Elephas maximus indicus: one gene and its partners. The protein of the gene in region 2 interacts with the protein of the main gene of each other region in a pairwise test. Links are inferred from orthologs where the notes say so. Each region holds a gene or a part of one and is shown on either strand. Other genes may lie near its edges.

Evidence for each region.
Region 1: the proteins of GABARAPL1 (region 2) and TAX1BP1 interact in binary tests that used the Homo sapiens proteins (3 or more experiments, as listed by UniProt). The link is inferred for Elephas maximus indicus from reciprocal best matches to the Homo sapiens genes GABARAPL1 and TAX1BP1.
Region 3: the proteins of GABARAPL1 (region 2) and SCYL3 interact in binary tests that used the Homo sapiens proteins (3 or more experiments, as listed by UniProt). The two-hybrid records come from large-scale screens. The link is inferred for Elephas maximus indicus from reciprocal best matches to the Homo sapiens genes GABARAPL1 and SCYL3.

The regions. Positions count from the first base shown.
Region 1 is NC_064826.1:88,877,605-88,881,351, reverse strand, and holds the start of TAX1BP1 (tax1-binding protein 1), read right to left. Parts: upstream 2,452-3,747; 5' UTR 2,345-2,451; intron 1-2,344.
Region 2 is NC_064822.1:67,460,093-67,463,839, forward strand, and holds the start of GABARAPL1 (gamma-aminobutyric acid receptor-associated protein-like 1), read left to right. Parts: upstream 1-1,457; 5' UTR 1,458-1,745; coding exon 1,746-1,835; intron 1,836-3,747. UniProt on the Homo sapiens protein: Ubiquitin-like modifier that increases cell-surface expression of kappa-type opioid receptor through facilitating anterograde intracellular trafficking of the receptor. Involved in formation of autophagosomal vacuoles.
Region 3 is NC_064821.1:214,082,476-214,086,222, forward strand, and holds the start of SCYL3 (protein-associating with the carboxyl-terminal domain of ezrin), read left to right. Parts: upstream 1-980; 5' UTR 981-1,214; intron 1,215-3,747. UniProt on the Homo sapiens protein: May play a role in regulating cell adhesion/migration complexes in migrating cells.

The DNA of each region.
Region 1 (3,747 bases), on a different chromosome or scaffold from region 2:
AAAAAAAAAAATTTAGCTACAATAAATTTGGGCTACCCAAGGACTCTCTGGGGGGGGGTAAAAAAAAGGCATTTCAAGGTTATCTTTACTCCCTCCTCTTGCAACTTTTTCAAGCCTCAAATAAATCTGGCTTTTGCGGTATCTTTCAATGGCTCCTGGTATTCATTTTACTTGACTAATCCAAAAATATGAACCTTAGTCAACTGAAGTAGAAAAAAGACCCACTGAGTACTTCTGTGGAGAAAACATACAGAACTGAACTAAGCTTTTTAATTTAGATAATAATCTACCAGCTCTAACAGAATTCAGAAGGAAATAAGGTAACTTTGTTAAGGGTAATAATGTGATTATGGTGGTGTTTTTTAAAGTATCAGAAATGCTAAACTAATTATAAGTGAAATACTGATGTCTTAAATTTGCTTTAAAAATTACAGTGGGATAAATAACTGTGTTAGAAGAGAACAAAGATAATAAACCAAGATTAGCAAAATATTGCTTCATTTTACCATCTCTACAAGCGTTACTAAAAGCAAATAAATAAAGCAGATTAGTACTAAAAACTCCATGTATGATGTACTACCATAGAAACAGTGCATTCTAGACCACGAATGTTTTGTGTGCTCTGAGTGTCGTAATTCAGATAACCACCAACAAAGTTAGTGTAAGTTTAAAAAATCTTGGATTAAAAAAAATACGAACCCTTGGAGTCCTTGGGTGGCACAAATAGCTAAGCAATGGGACTACTAGCCAAAAGGTTGGTGGTTTGAACCCATCCAGAGGCACCTGGGAAGACAGGCCTGGCGATCTGCTTCAAAAAGTCACACCCTTGAAAATCTATTGAGCATTTCTCTACATACACGGGGTCGTCATGTGTCAGAATCGACCAGATGGCAACTAACAACAACAACAAAATTATGAACTCTTAAAATTACCTCCAAATTCAGTCCTTATGGGGCATACAAACATCTGAAGGATAAAAAAAATTTTTTGACGTTTTGAAAGTTTCTGATTATTCATGCTTTAGCTCAAAGACTATCAACTGGTTTACAGACCTCTAAACGACAACAAAAAAACCTAAACCCGCTGCCTCGCGTAATTCCGACTCATAGCAACCCCAATTCTACACAAATTGCGGCAGCCATAGTTGTAAACAGTGTAAGAATGTGATGACTAGAAAATTAAAACTACAACAGAATGTTCTTTGAAGTCTGACGATCACATTGCCAAAAAAAAAAAAAAGTAAGTCATTTCTAGAGTAAAAAAAAAAAAATCCTTCAAGGAATCAAATCCACCCCAAGAACAGAACGATAAAGTCTGGCCTCAGCTCTTTATACCGAAAAACCACTTTGAAGGCAATGAGCCCTCTTTTACAACCGCAAGGTGTAATACTTTATTTACCAATAAAGTGACACAAAACGCCGCCAACACCACCGCCCCCCTACCTCCAGTCCACTCCCCCACCCCTCCTCCACCCCACCCCCAGATAAGCTCTGTAAGCTCTAATCCTAGGCCAGGGAAACTCCTGAGAGAGACTGCAAGAGCTCCTGTCTGGACACGTTCACTACCTGCGGGGGGAGGCGGAGGAAGGAGGGGTGAAATCAAGAAACTTTTGACTAAGCCAAGAAAAACGTGACTCTTCTCGGAAAATTAAAAAAATTAAAAAATCCCTGTGAGTACTAAGGGGAGGGGCTATTTCTAAACACCTCACAAAAATCAGTTTCTTGATTCTGCAGCCCAGGTAAATAAACAAGGTCGTACCTGAGCGGCTAACTCCGCCGGCGGCCCTAAAATGTGGGCGGCGCAAGGAGTCTCCGCCTCCTCACCCACCCGGCGACTCGACCCAAACAGCTCGCTTTTCCTCCGCAGAGGCGAGGCCGAGCCTCCTTTCCGGGCTCCACCTAGATGTCTTCCCCAGCTTGCCGTCGCCAGGAGCGCACACGCTGCCCTCACAACAGTCACCCTAGCGTTCTGACAAGATTTTTTTTCCTCCTCCGGGCTGAGTCACACGCGTCGCTCGCCCCCCGCCCAAGGGTCCACGTCCCACACGCCTCCGCAAAATCTCTAAGGCCTGTTCCGTGTGGAGCGGCCACTTATGGCTTTTCCAGCTCCACAGCTAACCGAAACTGCTCCACTTCCCGTCACAATAGCAGTCCGGCAGGAATGGTTTCTCCTCGGGAAGAAAAGCATAGTCATTTGCCAGCATCGTCACCACGGAGAATATTCCCCGGACCGGCCAGGGCCCTAGACTCCGGGGACTGAGGGACGTATCACGGTCCCCAAGAAGAGCTCCCACTGGGGCCCGCCCCGCCAAGGGCGCTGGAGCAGACCTGGGAAGGCGCCTTACCCAGTGAGGGGCTCCCGGCCAACGGGGGAGCGTCAGAAAGGCTTCCGATCCCGAGACGCCATCAACTGCCGAACTCCTTCCGAGACCTCCCCTCAGGGCCGGGAGCCAGCGTCGCGTCACTTCCGCCCATAGGGCTGTCCCTTCCGCCGCCGCCGCCGCTTGGGGCTCCGCGACTCCCCACCTGCCCCAAAGTAGGCGATTCAAAGCCTGCGGCCCAGGTAACTGCGCGCATTTCTCCGGCCCGCTGCTTTTTCCCCTTTCTTTCTACCTGGCAATTTTCACTCAGACACCTAGTTCCAGCAAAACAGGCCCTGTTCGTTTGGATTTGTTTTTTTTTTTTTTAATTGTTATTTTGACCTACAAAATGGGGAAACACACGGAAAAGTTAAGTAACTTAACCAGTGCGATAAAAGGTAGCGAAGTGATGGGAGGATAGAGAGAGTTGGAAGCTGGCAGAATTGTCACGAAAGGAGAGACTGGAAGGACTGACTCATTAGGGGGAGAGCAAGTGGGAGTACGGAGTAAGGTGTATATAAACTTATATGTGACAGTCTGACTTGATTTGTAAACGTTCACTTGAAGCTCAATAAAAGTTAAAAAAAAAAAAAAAAAGGTAGCGAAGTAGCACATGGACAATTACCATGCCACTGCCTGGATCTTAAAAATCTGTCTAAACTAATCCACTCATCTTATAGATAAGGAAATAGAACCAAAGGAAGGAGCCCTGGTGGCGCAGTGGTTAAGCGCTTGACTGCTAACCGAAAGGTCAGTGGTTCCAACCCACCAGCCGCTCCACAGGAGAAAAAAGACCTGGCCATCTGCTCCCGTAAAGATTTACAGCCTCATAAACCCTATGGGCAGTTCTGCTCTGTCGCATAGGATTGACTATGAGTAGGAATTGACTCCGCCGCAATGGATTTGGATTTTGTATGAGTTGGAATGGACTAGCTGCACACAGCAGAAGCGAAGGGAGCGACCACAAGGATAGGGCTACAACTTCTAAAATCCAACGCTCTCTCCTAACTCCTAGTCAGTCTTGTCCCTTTTTAACTACGATCACTGTAAATCCTCAGTTTCTCTGAGAAGCTCTTCTGTTCTAATAATGTTCTGTGATTCTATTTGGTCTCACTCCAGAACTGGTTTCTTCACAATCGCATTTCTGTGAATTGTTACCTGTATTATTTTAAGGTTGGGGTTGTTACTTTGCGGGTGCGAATGTTGCCCTTCGTTTTCTGTTGAATTGCAATTTCATTTATCACTTTTGACTATTATATATGTTCCCTTACTATAATAGCCTATAAAAACTATACTATAAAAACCCCGGTGGCATAGTGGTTTAGAGCTATGACTGCTAACCAAAAGGTCGGCAGTTCAAATCCACCAGGCGCTCCTTGGAAACCTTG
Region 2 (3,747 bases):
AACAGAATGCAGAACTTATAGAACAATATCATTAATATCATATGCAAGTAAAATTTTGCAAAAGATTATTCAAAGATGTTGCACCAGGGAACTGCCAGAAATTCAAGCTGGATTCAGATGAGAACGTGGAATGAGGGACATTAGATGGATCTCGGCTGAAAGCACACAACACCAGAAGGATGTTTACCTGTGTTTTATTGACTAAGCAAAGGCATTCAACTGTGTAGATCATAGCAGATTATGAATAGCATTGTGAAGAATAGGAATTCTGGAACACTAAATTGTGCTCATGCAGAACCTGTACATAGACCACGAAGCAGTTGGAACAAGAGAATAATGCGTGGTTTAAAATCAGGAAAGGTGTGTGTCTGGGTTGTATCCTTTCACAATCTGTATGCTGAGCAAATAATCTAAGATGTTGGACTATATAAAGAAGAATGCAGCATCAGGATTGGAGGAAGGCTCATTAACAATCTTTGATATACAGATGACACAACCTTGCTTGCTGAAAGCGAAGAGGACTTGAAGCACTTATTGATGAAGGTCAAAGTCTACAGCCTTCAGTATGGATTACAACTCAACATAAAGAAAACAAAAATCCTCACAACTGGATCAATAAATATTATTCAGGATAAACAGGGAAAATATTGAAGTTGTCAAGGATTTCTGTTTACTTTGATTCTTTAAAGATTACAGGCTAGGAAACCCTATGCGGCAGTTCCACTTTTCCCACAGGGTCGCTATGAGTTGGAATCCACTGGATGGCACACAAGAACACTTCCATATTCAGGTGAATTGTTTTCCAGAAGACAGGCCCAACTTCTGGGTCAGTAGGAGAAAGCCAGTGATCCCTATCTGTGAACGCGCCTGAAGCCCTTAGCAGTCATCACTGACATCACCTCTTCTCTGGACCCTGATTACCCTCCGTGCCCTTCATATTACAGGTCTCTTCAAATTCCTGAGTCATGCTCTGTTTATGTTGCTGTGCTAGGAGCAAACTGTGGCATGGATCCAAACAAAACTGACGCGAGCGTGGGGAAGGAGAGTGCCTGGTGGGAGGTGCCCAGTGGGTGCAATTAAATAGGCAAAGGGCAAAATGCAAGCACAGGACATTTCTGCACTGGCCAAAAACAGACCCTAGGTCCCCCATTCCTTTTTTTCTCCAGATCCCGGATCCCAATAAGCTGGAAAAAGCTGGATTTTAGTTCTTTGTATTTATTTTTGGACTCAACCAAGAAACAGCAGGGAGGGAAGAAGACATTTTCAGAACAATTTTATTTCGTTTTAGAACGATAGTTAATGTCACATGAACATTCAAATAACACGTAAATACGTCATGGTTGCAGTGGGATCTACTTAGGAAAGGTTTAGCTAGAAAGAAGATACAATGAAACAGACAACGTACTTGTCTACCCCCATCCTGCGCTGTTCCGAACGCTGGGGGCGGGACACGGGGCGGGGTTTGTGGCGTCACAATACCAACGCGCTGCTGTGTTGTTTTTGTGTCCCCAGCTCCTGGGAAAAGCCGTCTGGATCTCTTTACCTGGCCATCTTCTACTGCCAGGCGAGGCGACCAGAGATCCCTTCCGAACGCTCTGCCAATAGTGTTGTGGCGGGAGCTGGCACTTCTGAAGCGATCCTGAAACCTATTGAAATTTGACGGAGAGGAGCAATACGCGAGAGACGCAATCATCAGCGAGGAAGGCAGGCCCCGTCTGGGGATTTTAGAAACCCTGCGGTCCATCATGAAGTTCCAGTATAAAGAGGACCATCCCTTTGAATATCGGAAAAAGGAAGGAGAAAAGATCCGGAAGAAATATCCGGACAGGGTCCCTGTAAGTGTAATGGGAACGGGTGGAGGGTAGGGGAGAAAGTGGGGGGAGGGTTGGAGAGCTGGGGGTTGGGGAGTCGCGATGGCTGCCCTAAGGAACAGAAGGGTCTCCGAAAAAGGGAGGTCTCTAAAAATTCCTTGACCCCGGATGTCCTTCGCTAGCTGCCGGAGCTAGTGGACTTTTCAGACTGCGGAGCTTTCCAAACCCGTATCCCGAGGGCCTGTTCCCATCTTCATAGCTGACCGCATCTTTAGAGCGAAGCCAATGTCTCGAGTGACTCAGCAGTTTTCAGAAGATGTGGCCTTTTTGTGCGAGAGTCATTAGTTTGGGGCTCTAGGTTTGCTTCGTTTAAGAACGCACGGAAATTACTATGGGAGCGACTGATGCCCTGGGGTTTGCGCCTGTCGATTTCTGCTATAGGTGGTTCTCCTTTCATCAATTTCACTCTGACCTGGTTATCCTTGGGCTTGGGAGGGAAAAGATGGGAAGCCAGTGGATTCATTCTCGTATTCTGTTAAGATTGGGGTAGGGGGTGGGGGGCACCACAAGACAGGTCTGGCTCAAAAACAAGGTCACGTTCTCTGCGCAGCAACCGGCTTGCTTCATCATTCTTGGCTCCAGGGGCAGTGTGTAGTGACGGCCAGCTTTCCTGGGTGCTTAATCTGATCAAATCATACCTGGGCACGAGACAGACTGAGACCTCTTTCTGTTTTAGCCCCTGATTTATGTAGTTAAAACTAGTGCAGAAGGAAAAGATGAAATAAATAGCAAGGCATCTTTCAGCATCCGGGCGTTTTTCCAGTTTGTCCCCTCCCCCGCGCACTTGCCTGGTTTCCCTCTAATGTAGGCTGCGCAGCCAGAATGAAAGACAGAAGCCTGTGGTAGAGGGAGCAGCAGTTTTGGGGTGTTAGAGATAGAAGAGCAGTGACCGTAGGGTTGTGCTCTTTATCTTCAGATATGGGCATTTGGATGATGTAACTGGTAAAGGAATTGTAAATGTAACGGGTAAAGACATTGCAATTATCTGATGTCCTTTCTTGACCTGCAGGTGTTCCTGGGCCTCCTCTAAACAGCTACCAGAGGCAACTTGGGGCTTAGCCCAGCAGTACAAAGCCCTCGTGGTCCTTTCCTATAAAGAGGAGACATCAGAGCCATCCTATTCCCCAGCAATTACACACAAAAGGGTTTTTTAGCTGGAAAGGGGAGCCAGCCTTATTACCCAGTAAAGAATTCTTCACAGTTTATTTTCGTGGTCTCTGGACCTTGGATGATTGTTTTAAAATCGTCCCCCAATTCTCGTGGCACCAATCCCAGTTTTCAGTAATAGTATTTAAAAATGAGAGCTAATATTTACCAGTAACTTACCCTGTATCTGGTGCTATTATAAGTGTCCTCTATATAGGCATCCCATTAACCCTCACGCTATTATAATCCCCAGTCTATAGATGAAGAATCTGAAGCACAGAGACATGAAGTAACGTCATATTGGTGGTCTGTGACCAAGCTGAGATTTCAGCTTCACCTCTCATGCATAGCGCTATGGGCATGCCTAACCTCCATGCCACATTGCTGCTCAATTTCTAATGTAGCTCTGTTACCAGAACTAATTAAGTGCCTCTCACTGTTAGGTATTGGAAATAGATAAACTATTGCTGCCCTCAACAGTTCACCGGAAAAGTAACTCAGTAAGCAAAATGACTACAATTTATTCAGGACTTGCAAAGTACAAGGAACTGTGCCAGTTGTTGTTAGGTGCCGTCGAGTCGATTCCCACTCATAGTGACCCCTGTGTACAACAGTAGCTTCACATAAATGACAAACTGAAATTTACCTGTTCCTAAATCTAGTTAAAATTTCCATATGTTTCCCTCAAACCGAGTCCTCCCTATTTCAGTTATTTACATGCATCCATCCA
Region 3 (3,747 bases), on a different chromosome or scaffold from region 2:
GAAGCTGACTTCATCAAGTTTATAGGACCGGCAAAATTAATCACTGTGCCTGTCTCCTAATCAATATTTGTTTAGTACATTCCTGAATAAGGGGGAAAATTTGGCCCGATTCTTGCTTCCATTTATCCTGGTGACAAAATTGTGGAGTCCTATCTCTCTTAAACTTTTTCTGCTACTGTCACAGACTGGAAAGGACCAAAAAGTTGCACATGGCCAAACGATTTACGTCAGTTTTCAACGGTAAGGGAGCAGTAAAAAAAAGATTACTACTAAGATCATGACCATGACAAGAAACATACATAGAGTTCTTACGTGCCATGGAGCCCTGGTTGCACAGTGGTTAAGCGCTTGGCTGCTAAGCCAAAATCCGCAGTTGGAATACACCGGGCACTCCTTGGAAATGCTATGGGGCAGTTCTAATCTGTCCTTTAGGGTCGTTGTGACTCGAAATTAACTCCAGGGCAACGGATTTGGTTTTTATGTGCCATATATAGTATAGTTTTAGACCCATTACGTATTTCTCACCCAGTGAAACAGTCACTATTAATATTAGCAACAGGTACTATTAATATTCTCAATTTTACTTCTTTGCTGAATTAAGTGTAATTTTCAGACTCTCCGTCCCAAACGCTTAAGCGGGACTCAGCCAGTTTCAGCCGTCTTTCCCAGGACTTTGACCGACGCTGCGGAGCCAATCAGGGCTGCGGGACTGCACAACGCCGCCAGTTTTCAGATTGGACTCCTTTTTGCGTCTCGGCCCCTATTTGCTAGGGCGATGGTTGGCCATTTTCGATTCGGGCGGAAATAAAATTAAAGCTGAGAGGCTAAAGACCTAAAAAGCAAAATCAAAACAAAACTTATGTCTTCAACTGGAATGCTTAGGGAAGGAACACCTGCGCAGGCCAACTCGGCTGCTAGGAGCAGTGAATAAAATGGGCTCGAGGCCGGTGCCCACACTCAAGATGGCACCCTCCTGAGAATCACCTGTGTGGCCGCTCTAGCCAGAATCTGGGCTCATTTGCCTCAGTGTTGGTGTCGGAAAGGCGAAGGCTAGCACTCTGTCCCATTTCCGGCCCAACTCTATGGTGTCGGAGAGCCGAGAATCCGGAAGACTGTGTGTGTAGGAGACCTACCTCACGGGGGAGGCGAGGTGTTCGGTGTTAACTGGGGGCGAAAAGGGGACCGGAGCCGCTGCCCTCCGCCGCCCCCCGCAGGTAACGGGGCTTCCGCTGCGGCCTCCGACGGTCAGGCCTGGGCCGGGGCTGGGGGCCGGGGCGGGAGAGGAGGCGGGGGCGCGCCCGACTCGCGGGCCCCCGCCGGTTGAGCTCGGCAGTCCGTTCCCCGCACCCTCTCCTTAGTGCGGGCCCCGCCAGTTGAGCTCGGCGGTCTGTCCTCCGCACCGTCCCCTCAGTGCGGCCCCCGCCAGTTGAGCTGGGCTGCGGTCCCCGGCACTCTCCCCTCAGTGCGGCTCCGGCTTCGGTCCCCGGCACCCTCCCCTTAGTGCGGCCGCGACAGGTTGAGCTCCGGCTTCGGCCCCCGGAGGTTGAGCTCGGCCGTCGGTCCCCGGCACCCTCGCCTCAGAGTGGCTCCGGCTTATGCCCCCGGCACCCTCCCCTCGGTGCGGTCCCCGCAGGTTGAGCTCGGCGGTCGTCCCTGGCACGCTCCCCTCAGAGCGGCCCCCGCAGGTTGAGCTCTGCCGTCGGTCGCCGGCACCCTCCCCTCAGAGTGGCTCCGGCTTAGGTCCCCGGCACCCTCCCCTCAGTGTGGCTCCAGCTTCGGTCCCCGGCACCCTCCCCTCAGAGCGGCCCCGGCAGGTTGAGCTCGGCCGTCGGTCCCCGGCACCCTCCCCTCAGTGTGGCTCCAGCTTCGGTCCCCAGCACCCTCCCCTCAGAGCGGCCCCCGCAGGTTGAGCTCGGCAGTCCGTCCCCGGCACCCTCCCCTCAGTGTGGCTCCAGCTTCGGTCCCCGGCACCCTCCCCTCAGAGCGGCCCCGGCAGGTTGAGCTCGGCAGTCGGTCCCCGGCACCCTCCCCTCAGAGTGGCTCCGGCTTCGGTCCCCGGCACCCTCCCCTCAGTGTGGCTCCAGCTTCGGTCCCCGGCACCCTCCCCTCGGTGCGGCCCCCGCAGGTTGAGCTCGGCCGTCGGTCCCCGGCACCCTCCCCTCAGTGTGGCTCCCGCAGGTTGAGCTCGGCAATTGGTCCCTGGCACCCTCCCCTCAGAGTGGCTCCGGCTTCGGTCCCCGGCACCCTCCCCTCAGAGTGGCTCCGGCTTCGGTCCCCGGCACCCTCCCCTCAGAGCGGCCCCGGCAGGTTGAGCTCGGCCGTCGGTCCCCGGCACCCTCCCCTCAGTGTGGCTCCGGCTTCGGTCCCCGGCACCCTCCCCTCGGTGCGGCCCCCGCAGGTTGAGCTCGGCCGTCGGTCCCCGGCACCCTCCCCTCAGAGTGGCTCCGGCTTCGGTCCCTGGCACCCTCCCCTCAGTGTGGCTCCAGCTTATGCCCCCGGCACCCTCCCCTCGGTGCGGTCCCCGCAGGTTGAGCTCGGCCGTCCTCCCGGCACTCAGTGCGGGGCTTCTCCTCATCAGGGCTTCGTGGGCCCCCGCCGAGCGGCACTGGTGGCCGGAGCTGGCGGCGAAGCCGCGGGATCGGGCCTCGCGGGGAGGTGTGGAAGGTGAGGGGCCAGCCAAGCGAGTGCGCCCCCCACCCCCAGCGGCCTCGGGGTCGCGGCTGGACCCTCGGGCTCCGCTCCGGGCGGGCGGGCGGGCGGTCCGGGAGTTTGCTCGGTGGGCTGGACACTCCCCGGAAGGGGCATCGCCGGAGGAGCCTTGGGGGCTTGGGCCGCTTCATTCTTGGTCCAAGACCAGGGCCAGGTCCCTAGAGGCCCAGCTGGCTCTTGACTGCTTTAAGCTTTCTATTTGGAATAAAGATGAAATACATTTCTCGGAAGAGGAAATCACGTGAATACTCACAGTCCCGTCCTGAGCGATTTTGGAATCGTTATTACTGTTGCCGGTGTGCATATCCACGTAAAATCCTGTCTCTTAGCTAGCACACTTGTTTTGATCCTTAAAGGCTTCGTTATGTATTGTTTGCACCTAGCAAGGCTGCACTGAGTTAAATACAGGGAGTATGAAACGGATGAAACCAGAGGGCTCACTGGCTAACAAAGCATCACTCAGTGCAGGGTGATCTTAGAGTCTGGAATGCAAGCCAGTATTTTTGGAGTTCCCTGGCTATGCCAGCTAGGATCGAGATAATCACAGTTAACTGCTGGGAAAAGAGCAGAGATACCCAGAGGTTTCTTAGTTGAACATAGGAGTTGCACTGCGACCTAGACGTGGGCTTTCCAAATGCACAGGTGGTCTGGAAACTGTGCTGCCCAAGGAAGGATGGAGGAAACTAGGTGAACACATTTCATAGAGAAGACTGATGCATATTCAAGTCAGAGACTGCCGACTAAGCATTTTATATATCTGTTTACCTATCTCTATCTATCTGTGCATGCCCTGGCATTGGAATATATTTTTCTACTTTCCTGTGAATTTTATTCCAAAGCTACCAAGCAAGATTTTGTATTTTTTCCCTTACTCCTCCAAGCAACAAGAGAGCATTTTGCAAGTCCAAGTGCTAATTTATTAGTTTTATGTTTCAGTAATTCATTTTAGCTGAATTACCATTTTTGAAGCAGTGTTTATGTTAACAGTATTTGTGCCTCTTTAGATACAGAGTGTGTGAAATACAGAATTAGGAATTA